Drosophila melanogaster: one gene and its partners. The protein of the gene in region 1 purifies or fractionates together with the protein of each later gene. This does not show direct contact. Each region holds a gene or a part of one and is shown in the gene's direction. Other genes may lie near its edges.

What was found.
Region 2: the proteins of CG11396 (region 1) and l(3)76BDm purify together in Drosophila melanogaster (affinity purification with western blotting; one study listed by BioGRID). This does not show direct contact.
Region 3: the proteins of CG11396 (region 1) and CG4953 purify together in Drosophila melanogaster (affinity purification with western blotting; one study listed by BioGRID). This does not show direct contact.

Annotation. Positions count from the first base shown.
Region 1 is NT_037436.4:20,784,224-20,791,182, reverse strand, and holds CG11396 (uncharacterized protein), read left to right. Parts: upstream 1-3,045; 5' UTR 3,046-3,080; coding exon 3,081-3,392; exon of another isoform or gene 3,393-3,469; coding exon 3,470-4,054; exon of another isoform or gene 4,055-4,118; coding exon 4,119-4,294; exon of another isoform or gene 4,295-4,350; coding exon 4,351-4,732; 3' UTR 4,733-4,843; downstream 4,844-6,959. Other genes in the region: Six4, read left to right, coding at 69-463, 530-1,047, 2,012-2,117; Pcif1 (phosphorylated CTD-interacting factor 1), read left to right, coding at 6,576-6,959.
Region 2 is NT_037436.4:19,611,400-19,621,447, reverse strand, and holds l(3)76BDm (lethal (3) 76BDm), read left to right. Parts: upstream 1-2,926; 5' UTR 2,927-3,002; coding exon 3,003-3,168; intron 3,169-3,462; coding exon 3,463-3,624; intron 3,625-3,683; coding exon 3,684-4,608; intron 4,609-4,665; coding exon 4,666-4,914; intron 4,915-4,968; coding exon 4,969-5,431; intron 5,432-5,525; coding exon 5,526-6,438; intron 6,439-6,498; coding exon 6,499-6,924; intron 6,925-7,054; coding exon 7,055-7,710; 3' UTR 7,711-8,021; downstream 8,022-10,048. Other genes in the region: ms(3)76Cc (male sterile (3) 76Cc), read right to left, coding at 1-693, 756-841; asf1 (anti-silencing factor 1), read right to left, coding at 1,613-2,269; PIG-F (phosphatidylinositol glycan anchor biosynthesis class F), read right to left, coding at 8,187-8,897; Lon protease, read left to right, coding at 9,366-9,704, 9,868-10,048.
Region 3 is NT_033779.5:10,263,791-10,271,136, forward strand, and holds CG4953 (uncharacterized protein), read left to right. Parts: upstream 1-2,912; 5' UTR 2,913-3,019; coding exon 3,020-3,062; intron 3,063-3,122; coding exon 3,123-3,510; intron 3,511-3,633; coding exon 3,634-3,946; intron 3,947-4,008; coding exon 4,009-4,137; intron 4,138-4,192; coding exon 4,193-4,636; 3' UTR 4,637-4,958; downstream 4,959-7,346. Other genes in the region: REPTOR-BP (REPTOR-binding partner), read left to right, coding at 418-474, 759-843, 974-1,095, 1,157-1,249; Mob3 (MOB kinase activator 3), read left to right, coding at 1,730-1,771, 1,831-1,981, 2,037-2,160, 2,217-2,320, 2,408-2,523, 2,590-2,715; CG4957 (uncharacterized protein), read left to right, coding at 5,171-5,529, 5,586-5,760, 5,823-5,918, 5,973-6,083; Mulk (Multi-substrate lipid kinase), read left to right, coding at 6,325-6,422, 6,484-6,604, 6,659-7,346.

The DNA of each region.
Region 1 (6,959 bases):
TTAAATAACATTTGGTAATATAAATTTAAGATATTTGCTTGACATAAGTTTTCCATTTCAATCTTCAGGTTATCGTGGCAACCTGTCATGCAAAACGGTCCTGCAGCTGGACAAGTTCGCACCCTACGAGGGTGTGGAGAAGGATCACCTGCTGGAGCGGCGGTTTCAGGACATCACCAATGACTACGACAAGTCGCCGCCGCCCACCGCCTCGACCACGCCCACGCACTATCCCAGCCTGAACAGCATAATATTTGAGAATGGCAGCAGTGGCAACCTGGGCGATCTCAACGGGAACACGAAGACGGATCTATGCGCCGGCCTGCAGAGAAGTGGCGGCGGATTGGGGGGCAATGCCGGCAGTGGTGGCCACCTCATATCCAATCTCACAGCCGCCCACAACATGTCCGCCGTGAGCAGCTTTCCTATCGATGCCAAGATGCTGCAGTTCTCCACGGATCAGGTAGGATACTTCTCCCATATATCCTAGACTTTTGCAGACATAAAGTGCTATGAACTTCTTCTTTAGATCCAGTGCATGTGCGAGGCACTGCAGCAGAAGGGCGACATCGAGAAGCTGACCACATTCCTCTGCAGCCTGCCGCCCAGCGAGTTCTTCAAGACCAACGAGAGTGTCCTGCGGGCCCGCGCCATGGTGGCCTACAATCTGGGCCAGTTCCACGAGCTGTACAACCTGCTGGAGACGCACTGCTTTTCGATCAAGTACCACGTGGACCTGCAGAACCTCTGGTTCAAGGCCCACTACAAGGAGGCCGAGAAGGTGCGTGGCCGACCACTGGGCGCCGTGGACAAGTACCGTCTGCGCAAGAAGTATCCCCTGCCCAAGACGATCTGGGATGGCGAGGAGACGGTCTACTGCTTCAAGGAGAAGTCGCGCAACGCTCTCAAGGACTGCTACCTGACCAACCGATATCCCACCCCCGACGAGAAGAAGACGCTGGCCAAGAAGACCGGGCTCACGCTCACCCAGGTCTCCAACTGGTTCAAGAATCGTCGACAGCGGGATCGCACGCCCCAGCAAAGACCGTGAGTTGAAATCATAGATTCTCATGTCCTCATCCATAAAATCCACTATATAACTTATCCTTTTAACTATAACCCACATCCTATCTTGAACACATAAAATAGAATTTTATTTTAAGAACTGAAAATCGTCAAAGAATCAATCAAAAGATTAGTTGTAATTAGAGATTATTGACTATTTCCTAAAAAACAACTTTGAAAAGAGCTAATACCATTTGAAGTGTAGTTAGATTCTCTTCACATTTCTTTTGAACTTGGGCCAACCAAGTTCGTTAGGAGGGGAATCTAGGGCGGCATGGTAATTTCCACTTCCTCATAACTCGTAAAACAATTCATTCAACACTTGAGCGTGTTGCGCCCCAGAACCAAACTCCGAAATCCGAAATGCGAACGAATATAATCAATTGTTCTGGAATTGGCATTAAAAATCGTTTGTAAGTGACCGTTCCGTACGGCACTTGTGCCTCCAGGCCGCCCACTTGAGCGTGTTTTATGTCCAATTTCGGCCGGCTCCTTGCACGGTCCTCTGCATATTTATAGAGCCCAGGGACTCGGGACGTGCCCGACTCCTAACGCAGCGCATGCGTGTAGCATGTGCCCCTCATCCTCCTCACCATTCCCATTCTCCTCCTCCGCCCGCATCCCGCTGTTTGATCGCATCGCCTCTACAGGGCGTCAAATTGCAGCACATACCACACCCGAGCTCACAAGTGGAGTAAATGTGTTCTTTTTAGCTGCTCGAAAACTCACAGTCGCACTTCCATGACTAGAACCATTTGGAAAACGCAGAGCGATCTTAAAAAATGGAGTCATGCTTCACTTACATTGATAATTGTTAAGGGAATTTTAGGGGGATTCCATAGATAGTTCCACTGCCTGAAACTAAAACATATATTTATATATAGTAACTCTATATTTTAAGTGCTATGTTATAAATATATTTAAAAAACTAATTGTTTGATTTTAGGGACATCATGTCGGTGCTGCCCGTGGGCCAACTGGATGGCAATGGATTCCCGCGCATGTTCAATGCTCCAAGCTATTATCCCGAAACGATTTTCAATGGGCAATAAACTGCGATGTGAGGAGGCTGTTTTTGTGTAAATAAAGTGTAATGCGTTTGTATGTTAGGACACAGGCAACTGGAAAGTGGCCATCAAATGGCCATCTTTGTTAGCTCTAGAATTAACCAATTTTTGCTTTATGTACTGTATAACTCGAATAATAAACAAATGACATTAGATCAACAAATGAATTTGTGTGCATTTTATTTGGGAAATTTGGGTTATGTAAAAGAAAAATAATTTATATCCACTGTCGCTGAAAATCATATGGAAAATCAATATGGATAATTTCTCTTAGCTATAATTTTTATGGGCTAATCAAATGGAAAATGCTGGCCTACGAATAAAAGGGATATAATATAGGTAAGCCAGAGACAATATGTTCATATAGTGATTATATGTTAATATATATGTTGGTTAAACGCTAGTTTCTTTTCCTTTGCCCTAATCATTATTTTTGTAAAAACTAATACAAACAATTGGCCAAACTAGTCATTTGCGCTAACCGAATCTTAAAACTTAACACTAAAATCATATTTAAAATTTATGTACCACATATTTCAACGCAACACATTTTAATCTGCGTTACGCCATGAAATATAGACATTTTTAAGAAGAGAAAATTTAAGAAAATTAGGAAATAAAGAATCCTAAATCAAGTTCCACAGCACAAGTTCCAAGTCTGGTCTCAAAAAAATATATATATTAGATAGTAAAAATCATTATATAACACATGAATATTTTTGTGCTTGGACTTTTTGTTTATTATGAAAATTTCGGTGTAAAAAAATTTTGCAAATGCAAAATAGTAACGTTGAAAAGAACTTTTAGCAAGCAATACGGTAAACGGATCAAAATAAGATTGTTTAAAACCACTGAAGTATTGGCGCCATTCGCGGCCGATAGCTCTTACTGTGGCAGCAGCGATAGTGACATCCCTGAAAGCCTATCGAAAAACCATCAAAGAAAGACATGTCACACAAAATAAGCGAATATTTCGCAAATGATCCGCCCAGTTTCTTCGATGAGCTGGCCAGCAAACCCAAGGGCAACAACTTGTCAACAGAAGGGAGTTCCAGCAGCGCCAGTAGCACCAGTTCCGCCCCAAACATGATGTCCAACACCTTCGTCGGGTTCTTCCAACCTCCTGAATATGTTGAGACACCTGAGGCAGGAGAGGATTCTATAAAAGTCGGTGACGACGTAAGAAATCTGTGGGAGTTGCCGCGGGAAAACGAGCCCGGTAAACTTATTATGCCGGGCATCCATCTGCAAACTGACTTGGTGCGTATAGAATGCTTCTATACTTCTTTTTAAAGGTAATGACACTTTTACTTACTGACACTTTATGACTGTTCCAGGCAGATCCCATCAGCGTGGCGGTGACTCAACACCTCGGAGAGGCCGAGTTGTCCTACCGCAAGATCCTTCGCGTCGATGATGTCACCCAGGACGAGCGCGGCTTGAGAACACTAATCCACGCCGGTTGCTATCGCACTGCCGTGAATCTTACGGGCCGTCTTCTGACCATTTACGGTCAGGGTTACGGGCGATCTGGTCAGCCAGCAAAGCATTCGCCCCACTCCCTGCAACTGTGGTTCACGCGCCTCGCGCTGCTTGCCAAGTTGGGCGAGTTTGAGCTGCTGAATGCCGAGGCAGAACCTTTTGGCCAACTTACCAGCCCCGATGTCTTCTACGACTTCTATCCGGAGATGTACAACGGGAAAAGTGGATCCATAGCCTGTTTTTCCTTCCGGCTCTTGCTTGCAGAGCTGCCCATATATCTGGGTAAACCCCATGTCGCCCTGGACAGACTTTCAGAACTTCATGTGACCACGCGGGAAATCAAGGAGCACTATTTAAGTCTGCACAACAAGGCGGCAGAGGAGTTTTGGCAAAGGCGATGCGAACGGGTTTTGCATTCAATCATCAACTGTGGATTGATGGTACGTTCAAGAAAACTTAACTGTAGTTTAAATGAGTGTAACATTGCCCATTTAATTCTTGCAGATGAAGAAATTCAGTATGATAGACGACATAATGGAGGGAACGCTTTTAAAGCGCTCCAACCTGAGCAAGGAGGATCGGCGATCCTTGTACTCCGCTTGGGGCCGCATTTATCTGCAAATTGGTGACATATTTGGAGCGGAGCAGAAGATTGCCGTCTCGAGGAGATTAAGGGAGATGTAAGGCCCTACTCTAACCAACGCTATTTTCAGTTCAATGATATGCTTTGTTGTAGAAACTCCGCGCCTGATCTCAGAGACTTGGTCGATAAGGGATTAATAGCTGTGGCCAAGAACGACTTTCCCGAGGCCTATGTGATATTCCAGAAAGCTCTGCACCTGGACACCGGCAACACAATGATCCTGAACAACATGGGAGTGTGCCTTCTCTACGCCGGAAAGCTAAAGGATGCTATAAATCTGTACGAGCGCGCTATCAACCTGAATCCCCAGAAGTCCCTCAACGAGAGTTTGCTGGTCAATCTCTCGACGCTGTATGAACTGGAATCAAACAACTCCAAGGCGAAAAAGTACAACTTACTGCGCCTAATTAACAGATACAAACCGGATCTCAACATAAGCATAGAAATTTGTCTAAAATTGCAGACGATAAATTAAAGTAGAGATATTGTTAGACATTCCAAGCAAGCGGAACTTTCGGTCAAAATAGGTGAGCCCTTCTTTGAGTCCACTAGAAAAGTATTAGAGAAATAAAATAATGTTATAGATAGTTTCCTATCTGTTTAATTTAATTACTTCAAATTTAATAGATTATAAAACAAATACAACAGAACTATCGTACACGAAAAGTTGCGAATGACAAACGATAGTGCGGAAAGAGCAGGCAATCGATACCGTGCTGCCTATCGCAGCAATGCCATCTCGATTCGACTGCTCCGAGTTTCGTCGCTGAAAAAGAATTTGAGAAGAACTTATTTTTAATTTCCAAAGAAAATCGCGGGAATATTTACGCCAAGCGCACGCCTAAATGTTTGCAAACACGTAGCGCGTGCTTTTCAGACTAGGATAGTTGAAACTAGGTGAGTTTTGTGGCGTTTCAGGGCGTTTTAACGCAGTGCGGCCACACGATGCCCAGGCAGTATATAAAATGGAAAATATTGATGTGCCTGTGCCTCGGTGGGTGCAAAAAAGAAAGTGTAGAGAAATTTTCGTTGCATCCAGAATGTTGTTTGTTTACGCCGTCGAGCATCGAGTTACTCGAGTTCACCTGGAATTGGGCGTCGCAAAGTTCTCCTGATTGATATTATTTGCATTTTCTTTTAATTATAAGCGACTTTTTGTGGCTGCACTGAAAAAGCGCGCCATTATTTTAGTGCTATGACGTAGCTGTCGAGGGCCACGAAACCAAGTGTAATTTTTTCGCAATTGTTTATATGGCGTGCATAATGCCTGCAGTTGGTGCGGGTGTGTGTGTCAGCGGAGGTGCGCTGGTGTGTGTGCGTGCGAGTGCAGCAAATTATTTTGTATATTTTTTATTCCGCTTGTGGCGGTGCGCATACGCTTGGTACACGCTCGTCAAAACATATACACATAACCCAGGCAGAAAATCTCTATTCTTTTGCAATTTGTTTTGATTTCTCATTCGTGCGAGAGCAGAGCTGTGTTCGCTCTCTCTGGCTCTCTCGCTCATGCGCGCCTTCTTAGCCTCGTTTGAGTGGGTGTCGAATTAACTGTTTTCTGGCCAAGGGCTTCCTTCTGATTTTTTTTTTTGGATTTATCAGGCCAACATTTAGTGTTAATTTCTACTACTCCCCACGATCTCCACGCATCATTCCGTCCGACTCTAGCGTGCCCCCGATCTCGCTCCGCTGAGTGGCTGTTGTCGACTGGCCGATTAACGGCAGTTATAGCTCTCTGGTGGTGGTTCTGGTTTCTTCGATTCGATTCCGGTGCGCGCTCACTTTATTATCTGCCATCGTGACAATGTCGCTTTGGATATTTTCTAGCCAAAGGGAGACTTGGCGGTTTTTTATCCTATATTTGAATTATTTTTATATGCAAGAGGTTCAATTAGGCCACTTTGCTGTACTATACTTGGTGATAGTCACGTCTTCAAGCCGTAGTTTTTTTTTTCCGAAATTAAGGGGTATTATATTGATGGTATTTAATGGTATTAAATATCAAAAAATAAAGCTGAACTAAAAAGAAATATAGGTGTTCAAGACGTGTTGAACAACTGTTATTAGTATTTAGCACTGCAACTATAACTATTGTTTTATATGCATATATTGATTGTTTAATATATAACATCGATTAATATTTAACATCCGATTAGTCATCATAAGATATATTAACCAAGAGAATAGCTATTTTCCGAAAATTCAATTTGCCATCACTGGCCATTGATTATCTTTTCTTTTCACTGTCTTGCTCTCACTCTCTTCTTTGATTGAAAACACTTGTTTTTGTTTACCTTGCTCTTGCAGAAATATTTCGCAGCATGGCAGCTAACAACAACAATAGCATCATACACAACCTGGGCGCGGGGACGGAGGGCTTGCTCTCCTCCGTGATTGCGTCGACGGGGACTCCTGGCATGGGATCCTCGCCCGTGCCCTCCAGAGCATCTTCATCGTCCGCCTCCTCCGCCGCACAGAGTGCTTGGGATCAATTGACGGCGAGTGCCTCCAACAACATGTCACCTTCACCCACGGCAGGAGCGCCCACGGTCACGGGACCCATTCTACCAGACAATCTGGGCGTAGGAGCGGGCAGTTCACCGGTGGCCAGTTGCTCCTCCCCCTCGACGCCCACGAAAACACATGCGCCCTCACCGCTGGAGAGCATGGGCCATACACCGCAAGGTCCGCCAACCTTGGGACCC
Region 2 (10,048 bases), 1.2 Mb from region 1:
CCGTTATCCTTTACGGTTGCCAGGTCGTCCTTTGCTCTGCCCTTAACGTCAAGGACGAAAAAAACCCGTCTACGCCGCCAGATGAGCAGGTGACCCACTCGGGTGAGAAGAAGACAGTAGCGGCTGGACTTGAAGAAACTCTGTAAAATTGTCCCTAGATTTTTGATGATATGCGGCGGCTGCTGGTCCAGGGGCTTTGATCCTACCCCTAGATAGCGGGGTTCCAATGCCAAAGTAAAGGTGTGGCCTTCTAGGTTGAAATTTCTCTTGATCCGCTTCTCTTCGTTGGTGTAGATCTCCGGCTCCAGTAGTTTGTGTTCGTCGGGGTCGTCGTGCCCTTGATTCACATCCGAGCTGGCCCGAAATAAATCCGTGCCCTCCTCCAGCAGCATGTCGATCTTCTCTGCCGTCCAGTCCGTTTCGGGCAGGACATAAATCAAGGCGAATGCCTTCAGATAGGTGGCGAAGTTAAGAACATTCGCCTCCTGCTGCTTGGGAGAACATCCGCAGGGATTGTTTACAGTGGCATTTGAGCAGACGAGGCCCACAGGACAGCCCAATGAGTCGGCCTCCACGTCTGAGCGATTGGGCACCTTTTCGCAGAACTTCCAGTGATCGCAGCTAGGTTCCGTCCTCAGGGATCCTCCGCCGCAAAACTTGCTGCCCAGATCTAGATCCGAATAGCTGAGATACCTAAGGACGATCAGGAGGATGGATCAGTTTAAGCATTTCACAAATTCTGGAGTACTCTCCACGTATTGCTCGAGTTGCTCATGCTGATCCGAGGGCAACTGCCCGGGGCGCTGGCAAAACGGGCAAGATCGTGTTGGCTGATAGGCATCCTAAGATGTCTGTTACTTAAATTTTGTACAGCAAAGATTTGAGATTTGAGTTTTTTTCTGTTTTTGTTCTAATGTAATTGTTGCTGAATATTGCACAAAGGAAGAATTGATCCAGTATTATTTGATTTAACGGAATTTCAAGAAAATGTGTAGTCAAAGATTATATTAAAAAAAAATAATATAAAAAATTATAATAAAACAAAGTTTCAGGTTTATGAATATTTTTAGATATAATTAAATATAATAAAATGCCGTCCTGATAATATTAAATTTCTCTTCCAATCTGATGTGAATTTTTCCCATTTTTTACTTAACTTGTTTTTAAACAACAAAAAAATCATATAAATCATTTAGACAAAAAATCAGTTCTGTACAAAATTCAATTATTGAAAACGGAGTTTCTTTCAAGAATATGCTTATTATTTCTATTTAGGCATTAATGCTGTACAAGTGCAATAATTGATAATAGAGTTTCTTAATAAAAAAAAGGGTATCATTTCTATTGAACACGGCCAACTGAACTTTGCCATGAACGTATTAGTCATTCTTCAAACACAAATAAGTGCGCACAGAAAAGTCAAATATAGCTAAGAAAATGCATGTTTTGTGAAATAATTTAATGTATACATATATTTTTGCTTTAATCTTAGTTACTTAGAAGTAAAAAGAGGGACGAGGACCAGGAGTGCTAAGTTATCCATTGTTGCCCATGTTGGTTTAAGTGAGAGACAGTGTGTTAGTGTGGTCATTGTTCGGACTGCCGGCAGCTCTCAACATTCCATGGCCAGTGAGTTGGAGTTCTCGTTCAAGGCCTTGATTCCGTTCTCCATTGGCATGGCCAAACTATTATCATCTTCGGGATGGATAACTGCTGAAGCCGCCTCCGATGTGGACGGTCCATCGGTGGCCATCTCATCTTGATGGCCGTTCTCCACGCCATTTCCATTCCCGTTGATGTGCCCGTAGTCCCAATTGATTTTGAATCGGGTGACGCGCGGCTTGCTGGCCAGGATGTTTCGCGTCAGCTTCTCGAAAAGAGGCTTTGTTGGCGGGTTCTCGCGCATCTCCGGGTCAGCGTAGTCGTTATTCACATAGTAGCCCACGCGGACGAACTCCTGGCCGCGGTAGGAGCAGGTAAGCAGAACAATGGTAACGCCCACCGCATCCGGTTCCGGGATCTTGCTGACGTCTGGCGGATCCGCCTGGAAGACAAAGATGTGTCGCCCCTCAGGCACAGGTCCCACGTATATGGTGTCCAGCACCTGGTCGTGCTCCTCGGACTCCGCCGAGCCTACATAGATCATCTTCCACTCTAGATCCTCTTTTAGCTCCTCAATGCACTCGAACGTGAGTTCGAACTGAAAGGGGTTGAAGAAGCTGCTCGGGTTGTCCAGCACCACCACGTTGGTGATGTGCACCTTGGCCATGACTGTACCTCGGAGATTGCAGAGCGTAGACCGATATTTTAAAGACTCCTTCGACTGCGCGCTTTTTTTAGAGGTTCTGCTTTTGTCCGACTAGGGAATTGCTTTGCGAAATTCACCTGCAAAACGCTCAGCAAATACTTGATATATGTACTGTAATGCTAGTAGTTTGTTTTGGTTACAACATGAATCAGGTTTGTGCAATTGTCTGTCGCTATTCTGCTTTTATTTATCGCAATTATTCCGCTTGTCTTCGCACAAATGGTGACAGCTGACTTCTTTCCCGCGCTTCAGAGGGACCGTTCGGTGTCGCAAGTGGTGGCGAAAAACTCACCACGACAAGTGGCGGAATGTCAAAACGCGACAATAGTTCGATTGGTGAACGAGTTTACAAGATCTAAAAAATACTAATAATAATTTCGTTTCGTTACAACTGGCCTTTACACGAATTAACGATAAAAAAAAACCTAGATGCTGTAGTTTCAGCGGCATTACGGAATGGTTTACAAAAAATACACATATGACAAAATAATGATCTTCAGAAAAACCAAGTCAAATAAAAATTGGAACATATATTTTCTGATTGGAAGAGCGATCGATATCTGCGCAAAAAACAGCTGTCGACTTTCTGCCAGTAACGATAGTTTCGATACAAACTTGCATCAAGTGCCATCTCCAGCTGCTCCCTGCAATTGTTGTGTGGTGTTCTGTATTTTCTTTGTAAATAGTTGGAGTAATGCTGCACCTGACGGGCCAGAGTTACAATGCTCGCGACATCATCCGGAACATCTTCTCGCCGCTGATCGGCGTGCTGTCCAGTCCACAGGCGGACGAGATTTGCCACCGGAACAACCTCTCCTTCGTGGAACTCCTGCAGCCGTTCGCAAAGTTGCCAAATGATGGTGAGTGAATGGGATAGTGAATGGTTTGTGTGTAAGGGGGCGTGCGGGTGAGGTAAACAAGGCATAGACGCGGCTAAGAAAATAGGTCTTTTCTATGGAACTTTCAACCGATTCGACATGGTTATTTAACATTTTGCATACAAAGTAGTTGTTTAAGGGTTGTTATGGTGTGGATGACATGTTTAAAGCTCAGAAGTTGGTAAACGTTGATTCTAACATTGTTGATAATAAACTTAAATTGCCAACAAATTCTAAATGGCCAAAAATTAAATGCATTTGTACTCCTTTCTTTAGCACACTTTCGCGACGTGTCCGGAACGAGTGTATCGGTGCGTGGACTCCGTCTCAATTTCTGTGATGTGGACTGGCGGCCGCCGCAAACAATTTTGGCCAGGAAGATGCTCAACGAGTCTGTGACCAACGCCCATAATGACAAAACCAGACTGGCCACCATAGGTAAGGGTTTAAGCGATGCAAAAATGTCTTTTGGTAACTCATTTACCATTCTCCCATAGCTGGCATAGACCTTGAGTTACCCACATCGGAACCATGGTTCGAGCAGTGGCGTGAGACCTTTTTAACTGTGCAATTTCCGGCGGATCATGAGTTCACCCGCCATCTATTAAGTTGTTTGCTAGTGCTATCCAGCGCAGATCCCCAGATCGTGGAGACCGCCCACAAACTGGGACAACGTGTGCAGCAGATGCAGAGCATCACGCCCCAAAAACTGCCCAAGTGGTTCCATCCCACCGAGGTCCTCAATAGTTACGTAGTGCTGCACGAGGCTAGCCAGGGAGACTTGTCCAAAGCACAGCAGGGATTCGAGCTGCTCAAATCCACGTTCGGAGACAGCAAGTGTTTTTTGGTGTCGATCAACTCGATGGATTCTCAGGGTGCAGCTGAGGTTCCAGATCACTGGGCAACGTTTATTAAAAGACAGCCTAAAAGTGATCCAAATCTACCCTCCACTGATCTTAGTGCACCGAAATCGCCACAGGAAGCGGTTTCTGTAATAAGTATGCCTGCTATGCAAATGTCACAGCTCCTGGAAGGAGTCAGTGCTCAAGATAGCGATCTGGCCATGCTTCATCCGCTGAGTCCCATGCAGGAAAGCGCCACAGAGGCGATTAATTCGAAATTTAGCATCAGCAGCGAGAGTATTGCCTCTCAAACAATCAATCCCAATGTTTGGGGAAATGAATTAGAGGCGGATGCACCTCACGGCGGATGTCTTACCAGTCGAGACATTGACAACCTACGACACTTTGTGCAGGACTATGCTGTTCGAGCTTTGATTCCCTATATCGAGCATCTGGTGGCTATTCTCGCCGAGGGAGTGACGAACAAAAAGGGTGTCAGCAAGTCGCTATTGAGCGCTACGAAACGATGGTTTGTCACTAGCAAGCCGGGAGCAGGAGCAAACAATCAAAATGCAGTCATGTAAGATTTATTTTGTTCCCATTTTTAAATTTTAATGTTAAACCGCTTTGTTCACAGCTACACCAATGAATCTGCGGAGCTCCAAACACGAAAGTTGGGCGATCTCTACTTCATGTTTGGTCACTACAATTTAGCTTTCCAATCCTACCACCAAGCCAAGCGAGACTTCAATGCGGATTCAGCTTGGCAATACTATGCGGGAGCCCTGGAAATGGCTGCCCTATCCGCCTTCATGCTGGGTACTGCTCAAAGAAAGACATATGACTACATGGAGGATGCAATTGTGTGTTATCTCACAGTGTGCAAGTAAGTTAACTGTGGGATTTGTTTACCAGCTTTTCTATTATTTTGTTTTTACAGATTGCAGCAATTTGCGACCAGAGCTACGCTCCTAAGCATGGAATGTTTAAAAACAGCACGACTATATAGTGAAGTAGCCAAGCAATTGATTCGCATGACCAACGAGGAATCAGATCTTCGCTCAGCCCTCTTGCTGGAGCAGGCAGCCTACTGTTTTCTGGTGACCCAACCGCCAATGCACAGGAAGTATGCCTTCCATATCGTGCTGGCCGGGAATCGTTATTCCCGAGCTGGCCAAAGAAAGCATGCATACCGTTGCTATCGCCAGGCCTATCAGGTTTTCCAAAAGCGTGAGTGGAGCTTGGCTGAGGATCACATTCAATATACGGTGGCCAAGCAGGCCTACATGCTGAAACAACTTGAGGAGGCCAGTCGATCTTTCGCCCATTTACTGAGACCTGGAAGCCTTCAAAGTGCACAGCAGCAGACCAGTTTCTTAAAGGAGTACATTCAGACTCAGAATGTAAGTTTGTAAAATACTTTTTTCATACAATTTGCCTTTATTAAATACTATTTTATTAAACTATTGCAAATTCAACTACTAATATATTTTTCAGGAACTGGTTAAGCGAAGTCCTGAGCTGGGATTACTACCACATGCCTTACCCCAAGTAGTGCAATCTTCCGTTCGTGTTCTTACTTTAGTGCAATCACCGTCGGCTGTGGCACCTCATGTGCCGGCGACTAACATAGACATCAACTCAAATCTGACTGCAGATGAGCCCATTTGGAACAAGATTGAAGAGATGCTTGTGATCACTGCTGCCAATAATAAGCCCTTTGTCTTTAAACCCTCGAGATATTTGTACACTAAACAGCAGCCTGCATTGGAAACTCCAGTTGCCGTGCAAGGTGAACCCATTGAGCTTGCTGTAACCCTCTCAAATAGCGTTCAATGTAGAATAGCCCTATCCGAGATTGACCTTCTGTGGAAACTCACACTGGACAATGATGAGGTGCTCTCCAACGCCTGTACGTATGAGGAATCATCGGATAGTGCTAATAAAATAGCAGTAGGAGCAGCAATCAAAACGAGCTGCATGGCTTCCATCAAATTGGCCGAACAGGCCGAAGAAACTTTACACTTTAAGCTGACTCCAAAGTTGACCGGACGTCTGAGTATTTTGGGAGTCGTTTGTCGAGTAGCAGCCGGTGCGGATCCTGCAGCCAGTCTCCTGGGTACCTTACAGTTTGAAACCCAAAAGATCAGGCCTCACAATGCCAAGCAATCATCGCAGACCGTTATGGACAACAGATTAACTATCAAACTGGTTCCCCAACTGCCCGCCATGAATGTAAGCTTTACTCCCGTTCCCAATCGACTGTTGGCTGGTGAAATTGTTCCCGTTCATGTAACTCTTCGGAATATGGGAATTGCTCCGATTGAAGAGATCTATTTGGGATGCGATAACCCGCGCTGTGTGTCCCTTTTGGATCAGCACAGCCAAATGCCACTGGCTATGATGAGTTGTGAGTAAATAATACATTTCATTATTGAATATTTGTTTTCATTTTACATTGTTTGTAAAGCTCTTCGCAATCTTTCCAATGACAAGCTAGTAAAGGATAAGGAAATTCGAGGACAGCGAGTATATCGATTACTTAACCGGCCTGGGCTGGCTGCCTTAGACGCCCAGCAAGTTCAAACCATCTCCTTGTGGGTGCAGGCTCCACACCAGGCGGGACCCTTTACCTTACGCCTTCTATTTTATTACTCATTGCCAACGGTGGCAAATTCACCCATTAAATATCGATTGGTTCGGCATATTTGGCAGCTGCAGGTAGAGAGTTGCCTGCAGGCAGACTCCACTTGTGTGGTCAGCAATGCGGTTACTAATGAATTGGGACTAGATGTGAACGTTAGGAACCAACATGCAGTAGAGGGAACGGAAGTGTACATCAACTCTATTTCATTGTACTCCACGGAATTTAAGTTGAATCCCGATAGGTTACACAGTAAGTTAATTAATAATAATACGATTTTTAAAAGATGCAATTATTTATATATTGATATGAACTTATGTAGTTTCTTTCAAAACGTTTCACTAATATAAGAGATTTTTAATTAATATTTATTTTTTTACAGTAATGAACAGTATGGGAGTCAGCCCGGGACAGGCTGGAGCACAGTGCCTCAAGTCTTCCATTTGCTGCAATTTTCAGTGCCGCCTTCTCGAGAAAGAAACACAAGAAGAATATAAAGACATTCCATCGATTAAAACATTGCTTCATTCGCGACTTTCCCATTTAAAGATCCTGCCTGCCCAGCACGCTCAGCAAGTGGAGCAGCACATGCCTCCGATACACGACCCGCACAGCTTTCTCACCAACGAAGAGACGGTGTATTTCAATACCAACATCTCCACGGAAGAGTTCAACGCAAGTGTAGCTGACTATGTACCGCACGCCACATTGGTCCTAAGTTGGAGCGCCCTAGTAGCTAGGGAGGAGGGGCAGCGCTTGGCCTGTGGCCTGCACTTCATAAAGCTTTACAAACTATTTGAGACTGGCCACTGTCCAGCGGCGCCAACAGCTTCTTTCCTACGAAGAAGACATTCCTCTGACGACACCTTAGATAACCGACGGGAGTTTCCACTACCTGAGGGAGCGCTAAATAATGAGGATGCTTGGCAGCCCCTGGCGGATGCTGATGAAGAAGACTACTGGGAGCCCAATGAAAACTATGTGGGCCAACGGTGTCTACTGGAGGATGAGAGCTTTGTAATGGCAGTTAAAGCTTAAGATGTTTGTCAAGTGGTGTCATTAAATTATATGTTATCGTCTATCAGTTATGATATGCTAAAAATGGTATTGTCATTTCATTGAGTTTAAGTTTAAAAAATTTGTAAGCTTTTTGCCCCTCTGCATGTGAAAATGTATATTTCACGGGCAAAAGTACCCTATTCCTTGATTAAGAAGCTGCGCATAAAACAAATAAGTCCTGATTGGGAAAGTAATTAGGTGTTATGGTTTATAAGCCGTCTTTGGTTAAATTCATAATTTGTTAGTTTATTATTGATTGATTTAAAAAGAATTCATTAATAATCCACGCTAGTAATATGATTAAACATGTAACATTAAAGTGGTAATTGCTTTTTGGTAGTTCCTAAGCTGCTGACTAGACGGGATGATGACGTGGTTCTTAGTGGATGAGTGGATTTCAGTGGCAGCGCAACGTAATAATCTTGGTGGCAGAATGAAGAGTTTTATTATTAGATTTAAGTGCGTTTCTTGGTCATGTAAACTCGAGCTGTGGCGTAGAGGACATGCGTACAAGCGTATATATTGCCCAGAGCGCTTCCCAGCAGTGCTCCGATCACGTTGGGAATGGGATAAGCCTGCCAGTCACGTCCCCAGTCTAGTGGAGCGACCACGCTCCCGGCCCAAGCTCCCAGAATACCGCCCAGTGCATTGTACTTGAACAGATTCAGAGCCGTGTCCTCGCACTTGGTCACAAAGTCCGGTTTCTCGCAGAAGCACACTTGTAGTGCTCCTCCGCCACCGAGGAGGAAAACCGTGGGTGACACCGTCAACAAGGTCATCAGTAAGGCCAAGACGAAGGTCTGCTCATAGTTGCCCAGCACCGGGGCTCCCAAAATTATGCAGATAAAGGCGTAGAGGAGTGTACACAGGAACTGCAGGGTGAATCCTCCGAGGAGCTCCCGCGGCGTAAAGTACGAGTTCTTTTTCTGGCGCTGTTTGGCGGTTAGGACGCCATCCTCAACCTTCCCGTAGAAGCGAGCCAAAACAACTTTTAGCAGCTCTCCGAGGAAAACAATAGGGACGACAAGAGAATCCCAGAAGCTGCCGAGATGTGCCCAATTCCGGCGATACTGCATGTACGCCATGCAGATCAGGATGGTGGCGAGGCTGAGGGACACGTGGAAGAGCTGGTGCTTGGTCTTTTGTTGGTCGAATCGGGAAACCATGATTAAATGCAGATAAATACAATTTTGGTAAATCTTAAACTTGGACAATATTTTCCTGCCTTTCGTTTGTATTTCGCCGCCTATCAACACTGAATGTACTGTGGGCTTAAAACACAAAGCTTCGGAAATTTTAAATCACCGAATTTACATATAAAACAAAAAATTAAGATTTATTTTATAATGGATGCTTTTTACTTACAAAATTCAAAAAATTAATTCCAAAATTAAAAAAATGCTCTAAATAAGGGACAACGTTGTCGACGTCATTGGGTTCATGCGGTGTAGAACAAAAAAAAAATTTCACCGGTACCACTGTGCAACAATAGAAGAAATCGTTTTGCAGCACTGTCAGCCGCTGTCATTTCACCAGCCGTCACATAATCACTCACCACACATTTGGACTGCAAATTGTTTTTCTACCATTTCTAGTTATTTCTAAGTAAATTGCGAGTGGATATTGCTTTCAATATGTTAGCCCGCGCTATCCGAGTGCGCCCCATGATGCGTGGCATCGCCTCGTCGTCAGTGTGGAACCGGAATCGTCCCATTCAGAGTTCCCTGATGCAATACTGCCGGGATCGGTCGTTGCGCCTCCAGCGGCTCCACGGAGCCAATTTGATGGTGCAGCGCTTCTACAGCCGCAAGCGGGATGATTCCAACGGGGATATTATTATGGGACCCGATCTTATGTCCGATCAAGATACCCATCTTCCGGCAACTGTGGCGGTGCCGGACGTGTGGCCACATGTTCCGTTGTTGGCCATGCGCAAGAATCCTCTCTTTCCCCGCTTTATGAAGATAGTGGAGGTAAGGTTTCATTTGACTGGATGAATAACTACTCACTATCATGAATTGATTTAGTCAGTAAGCTTTTAATGAGCTAGACTTCTTATTAGTGTTTACAACATTTAAAAGTACGCCTTAATAATACTTTTTTCCTTGGCTTTGAAAAAATCCGATGTGCTAATAGGTATCCAATCCCATCATCATGGATCTACTCCGTCGCAAAGTCAAGCTGAATCAACCTTACGTAGGCGTCTTCCTTAAGAAAACTGATGGCGAAGAGGAGCTTATCACCAATTTGAATGATGTCTACAATCTCGGAACATTTGCACAAATCCAAGAGCTGCAGGATCTCGGTGATAAGCTGC
Region 3 (7,346 bases), on another chromosome or scaffold:
TTAGTAAAGTAAATAAAGTAAAACAATATATAAAATGTTTGTTAATATATAGCCGTGTACTTTTATATTTTCTTCAAACCCCAAATAATGAATAATTATATTGAACATTTATTAATTATTATTTAATTAATTTATAATTTAACTATTATCATAATTTAACTATTTAAATATAATGACTATTATCATTTTAAGTCATTAAAAGAAAATTTGTTACGATTTAAACTTTATTTATATTTTTGTTCTTAAATATAAAATACAAATAGTTCCCTTAATGTGTTCCATTCCATCGTTTCTGTTAAGATATATTTCGATTGGCACCTTTGTGTGTAGTGGTTTTGTTTATTGTTACCTTGAGTATTTACGAAAGACGCATAATAACAAAGAGTTGCAAAGTTGTTGTATTATTTGAGAGTTATAATGGCTGATATGGAGATACAGAGCAACAAAATGTCAATAACGGAGGAAACACAAGTGGTAATATATTATTAAATATAAAAGATGTGGTCTTTTTGTTTGAACATGATCTGAATTGTTCTAATGCGCAGTAAGGCCTTGCGTGTATGTATATACACATATATAAGCTATCTTCTGTGTATGCGTGTATATACATATGTGATTTTTATCATGCAAAAGCGCCTATTTTCAAAAAAGATTTTAAGTTTGACTTATCGGAACTAAATTTTTGCGAATAAGAATATTGAAAGCAAATTGTTTTTGGGATATCGTCAAATATTTACATTTTATATTATATTTATAAGCAGACGCGCAAGGAATGTGGAAAAAGGGGACGAAAACCAGGAAGAAAGACGTCTACTGAAAAATTGGACATGAAAGCCAAACTAGGTAAGAACAACATTAATTTCCACTTATAATACTTAAACAACGGTATTATTTTTAATAGTAACAAAGTTTCCAAACACTAATACATGTTATTTCCTATGGAATTTTATATAACGTGTATTTTCCCTTGCAGAACGCAGCAGACAAAGTGCCAGGGAATGCCGGGCGCGCAAGAAGCTGCGGTATCAGTACCTGGAGGAACTGGTGGCGGATCGGGAGAAGGCTGTAGTTGCTTTGCGTACGGAACTGGAGCGCGTCGGTATATAACTTATCATGCCACGTCCAACCAATTTATTTATTCTCATCTTTATTGCAGTTAATTCAATGGAATAACCAGTTGAGCGAAAGCAACACTCCAACCAACAATGACCAGTTACTTCAGGAACTCGGAATCCTCAAACAAGAATAACCTACATTCTTATTTTTAGCTTAAGAATATTACTTTTATAATAAATGTACGACGGTTACTATTTATATTATTACGAAAATACTGCAGAAATTTTTGTTATTTTCTATATTGCATTTTACAGCTTTTTATTGTTTCATTTGTATAGTGATTAAAGCCAAATTAAAGTATTTTTATGATAAATAAGAACTAATTAAATATTTGTTATTTAAGGGTGTTAAACCAATTGGTACACTGGAACAGTGATATATGGAACGATTATTCTAAGGGTTCGATAACTTAGTCGTGAAAAGCCTATCAATGGTTTCTCCCATCTCTCCATCGGCATAAAAATACAGAATAGTCTAAGGAACTGAATAAATGTAAACATTATTTATAAACAGCCATTAATAGTTATTCAATTGACAAACTTTTGTGCTGTAAGCAGCGCTTACATATGTGCCAAAATATTCTCACAACCAACAGAATCTCCAACAAGATATTATGGCTTTAAATGGATTTTTAGAATTCTTCCAAAAGGGCAAGGTGTGTTTGGTCAATAACAAAATCATATGCAGTTGATGTATTTTTAAACTAATTTTCAGACCTTTAGGCCAAAAAAGCCATTTGCCTCCGGAACCATTAGGTATTCCTTACATAAGCAAGCCCAGGCCAGTTTGCAATCCGGGATTAATCTGCGGCAAGTGGTGCGTTTGCCGCAAGGGGAGAATCTCAACGACTGGCTAGCTGTGCACGGTGAGAATTGTGAATTATACAATATATACAGTATACCCAACGTTGTATATTTCAGTTGTGGACTTCTTCAATCGCATAAACTTGATCTACGGCACCGTTTCGGAGTTTTGCAACGAAACTACGTGTCCCACGATGTCTGGCGGTTCCAGATATGAGTACTTATGGGCCGATGGAGATCTGTAAGTGCAGGAAATGATATTGCGAAGAGCATAAACTAATGTAGCTACGATTTCAGATACAAAAAGCCAACCGCCCTTTCAGCCCAAAAGTACATTGAGCATTTAATGGACTGGATTGAGACACAAATTAACAACGAAGCTGTTTTTCCAGTGTCCACGGGTAGGAAATTATATACTTTCCTTTTAAAGAAGCCCTCTCGCATATTTCGTATATGAGTTATTTAATGTGTACCATACTTCCTTTCAGATGTTCCATTTCCCAAGAACTTCATAGCAATAAGTCGTAAAATTTTAACCCGTCTTTTTCGTGTTTTCGTCCACGTCTATATTCACCATTTCGATCGGATTGTGAGCATTGGAGCGGTGCGTATCACTAAATAGTTACTTTAATTAACTCTATAAACTGTTAAATGTTTTCACCACTTTCAGGAAGCTCACGTGAATGCCTGCTACAAACATTTTTACTACTTTGTGCAAGAATTTGACATGATTTCGGCCAAGGAATTGGAACCCCTACAAGAAATGACATCTCGAATTTGCAAGGATAAGGATTGAAAGTAATTCGTACTAGATTGTGATGTAAATATGTATTGTTTATTACAAAATAAATAAGCGAACACAAAGCTTGGTGTCCTTTTCTTAATAACTAATTTTATAATTTTAGTTTTTCAAATTTATTGTTTGTTGGTATTATTTTCTCATCAAAATGGTGTGTTAGGGGTACTCCTCTGTAAAGACTGGTATAATAAAGTTCAATAGACTTGGTCGCACCGATGTAAACAGAGTTTTTCGCATTAAGTAAATTAAATTGCTGATTTATTTTTGTTAAAGTTAAGCACTTCTTAGAGTATTTTACAACATGGAGATGGTTGAACCGGATGCGCACTTGGTGGCACTCAAAGGTAAACTCTAGTTGTAATGCAAATTATGGACAAAGTGTGATGTTTTTGTTGTTTTCTTAGTTATGCGTTTGATGCGGCCCACTTTGGTGGGCCTTGGACCTGTGGTAACCTGCGAGCCCACGGATTTGGTCCAGAGATTTAGCAGCTCCCAGGAGAGCGACGGAATGTCCGGTGCCTGTGCGGAGACCTTGGCGGCCGGCCAGGTGCTACTGCTGCCGCAGTCCTTCGGCAGCATTTACCTGGGCGAAACATTCGCCAGCTACATCTGCGTCCACAATACCACCCCGAATCCGGTGGAATGCGTCACCGTCAAGGCGGATCTACAGTCGAACACGTCACGCATCAACCTATCCATGCACGAGAACGCCAAGTCGCCGGTGGTATTGCCGCCGGGTGGAACCATTGACGATGTGATACGATACGAGGTGAAGGAAATCGGAACACACATGTAAGTAGCACAAGATAGTTGCAACCACAAGCTTGTTCCTCCATATAATCTAAAGCAGTACATAGTACTGTCTTCTGGAAGCCCCAATAATATCATTAATTGTATATCCTGAATTCCTTTCAGTCTCGTCTGCGAAGTGAACTACTCGACTCCTGCGGGCTATGCTCAATCGCTGAGAAAGTTTTTCAAGTTCCAAGTGCTGAAGCCACTCGATGTGAAAACCAAGTTCTACAATGCGGAAATCGACGAAATCTACTTGGAGGCACAAATCCAAAACGTGACCACCAGTCCCTTCTGCCTGGAAAAGGTGGAGCTGGATGGCTCCGAGGACTACTCCGTCACACCACTGAACACGCTGCCAAATGGGGAATCCGTATTCACGGTGAAACATATGCTGCAACCCAACAATAGTTGTCAGTTCCTCTATTGCATCAAGGTGAGATGAGTTGAATTCTCTTATCTATAAAAAATTCATACAATTTCGTATCTTGCGTGCAGCCCAAAGGAGATATTGCGAAGAATGTAGATACCCTGCGGCAATTTAATAATGTGGGTAAACTGGACATCGTCTGGAGGTCGAATCTGGGCGAGAAGGGCAGACTGCAAACCAGTCAGCTACAGCGATTGGTAGGTGTACAAGTTGTAAATAAAATAGATCCCAAATAATATTCTCATTTTTTAGCCATTCGAATGCAAAACGCTCCGCCTGGAAGTACTGGATGCGAAGAACACCATTAAAATCGGCACGATATTCACGTTCAATTGTCGCGTGACGAACACATCCGAGCATCCAATGAAACTGAATGTGCGATTGGCTGCCAAGTTTTCGCCCGATAGTCAATACACGGGCTGTGCTGATTTTATGCTGAATCTTCTACAAAGTGGCGAATCTGCCGAATTTCCATTGTCCGTCTGTCCATCTAAATTGGGCCTCGTGAAAATAACACCCTTGGTATTGACGAATACGCTCCAAAATGAGCAGTTCACCATTGAAAACGTCGTCGATGTTTTTGTTGTTAATTCGGATTACGATAATGATACCACAACTCATCAGAATAAGTTAATTCGTTACGAGAGTGCTGCAAGCTGTTTGACCCAAAAGCAAGTTCAACTGCAAGTTGTATAGAATTGAATAGATGCAAAAATGTATATTTTAAATTTATGTTAATGTGAAATGGGGTTTTAAGTGACGGGATAGATATTATAATTTATGTTGTTACTCTATGTAAAACGCCATACTTTAATAAAAAAAAAGTCGGCGGTAAAATTTTTAATGAAAATTTGCTGAAATGTCCTTTAGTGTGGTCTTGCGTGCATTATGGAATCCTTAATTTCAATTGCATATTTTATATACTTTCTTGTACAAAGATAGTTAGATCTCTCTTTTGTTAGCACATAACGAAAAAACTAAATAAATAAAAAACATCCCCATGTTCTCACAACAAATTAAAAAAAATACCCCATTTAACTTAAATCAAATATATTTGAAAATTTAGACCACATTTTTTATAGCAACACGGATTTTTAGGAACTTCTGCGCCGGTAACACTAGTCCACTTTTTAGATCACAACACTAGAACTTAAAATGTTACGAAATGTGTGCACATTTTCCACGCATTTTGGAAAATGCATATTCCAAGCCCAGCAACCGATTCGTGGAATGGCAGGCCATTCCAAATGGGCCAATATCAAGCACACCAAAGCACTGAAAGATGGGGCCCGAGCGGCGCTATTTGCAAAAATTTCGAGGCAAATTCGAATGGCCATTCAGGAGGGAAACTCCGCGGATCCGGCAATTAACTCCCTTTTGCGAACGGAAATAGAAAGAGCCCTCAAGCAAAACATGCCCAGTGGCACCATACAAAATACGTTAAACAAATTCAAGGCCAGCAAAGTGCAACTAAAGAAGTACCGACTCGACATCAAGTACAAAAGAAACGTGTACCTCATATGCATTTTCTATACCGACAACTTTTCTGGCGTTAAAATGGATGCGACACCGATGATCAAAAAAGCCGGGTAATATCTCAATTTGCATCATTTTGTTGGATATAATTTACCTATGAGATTTTTAGAGGCGAATTCATGGATGTTGGAAGCCTATTCGAGGATTTTGGATTGATTGAAACTCGCTATGATACTGCGAAACTTCAAAATGAATCCAGTTTGGAGGATAAAGCCACCAATGATGCTATAGAGTTGGGCGCCGAAGAGATCGAAGTCGTTGACAATGTCGATGGCTCCGTCAATGTATGTTTTCTTTTTTTTCATTTATATTATATAAATATTAATTTTCCTACATTTACATACAGTTCCTATGCAGTCCAGTGGTTTTAACTAGCTTAAGTAGGAACTTGGAAAAAGCCGGATACACCGTGGAAAACAGTGAACACATATTTTCACCAATGGTAAATCATTCATTTCATTCAATTTCATTTTATCTAAATAGTATTATCTTTCAGAATGTAGTGCAATTATCACCCGAAGAGCAAAAGACCTATGATGTTTTTGTAGAAAAACTGAGAAACCTCCCAGGCTTAGAGGATATCTATGACAATGTGGAACAAAAATGACTTGTTGAATAAAACGTTGAGTTTAAACTTGAATAAATAAATTTGTTTCTAACTGATTAAGATACACTGTTAAGTAACAGAGTGTGCAATTTTCAGTGTTCCCGTTTCAGCGCTAAACGTTTCTGTTATTTTAAAGCTTATGTAAACTGGCTGGAATACCCTTGACGATCTAAAATCCAGCTGTTTGTGTGCGGCCAAACCAATACATGTGGAATCAAAATCATCGGTCGAAATTGAAAATATGAATTATTTAAGAGTAATTCGGAATAATTGGAAGAAATGCACGTTCGGAGCGGCAGTATCTGTGTACGCGCTGCAAGCGCTGAAAACTCACATCGAGTATGCATTCAGAAAACCGTGAAAATTTGACGCAACTTTAACCCCCTTATTTGCTCTCCAGGATTGAACAACATATGCGGGAATTCGCCTCCAACATTCAGGCCAACTGGATATCGGATCGCCCCAAAAAGGTACTGGTGGTCATGAATCCGGTGGCCAACAAGAAGAGATCGGAGAAGTTTGTAAGTAGCTGGCACACAGCTGACTAAGATGATAACCCAGCCATAGATTTTCAGTTTAAGAACTACTGCGAGCCGGTTTTGCATTTAGCTGGATATTCGGTGGAGATCCTTCGGACGAATCACATTGGTCATGCCAAAACCTACGTGGAGGAGTTGGCAACGCTACCCGATGCCATTGTTGTTGCCGGCGGCGACGGCACCTCATCGGAGGTGGTCACTGGGCTGATGCGTAGGCGCGGCAATCTCTGCCCGATCACCATCCTTCCGCTGGGACGTTCGGTGCAGTCCGCATCCAAGCGCATCAACATCTTTGGCGTCAAGGACGTCGACTATGTGAAAAGTCTTTCGAAAGCCCTTGAACCTATGCTCAAGGATGAGAGCCAGTACCAGAGTGTGATCCGCTTTGATGTGATCAATGAAGAAGATGGCAGCAATAGCCAATTGAAGCCCATATTCGGTCTTAATGGTCTGTCCTGGGGTCTGCTGGAGGACATCGATGCGGCAAAGGATAAGTACTGGTACTTTGGACCACTGCGACACTACGCTTCCGCTGCGTCCAAGTCCTTTGCCGATAACTGGAGCCTTAAGACCGACTATGTGTACACACCGCCGTGTCCTGGCTGCGTTGACTGTGCTGCTACTGTGCAGCGCCAGGAGACCGCCCAGCCTTCTGGCCTCTTCACCAGAGGCCTCATTAAGTACAAGAATAATCCGGGTGAAACCAAGAGGCCGCTCGTCAAGA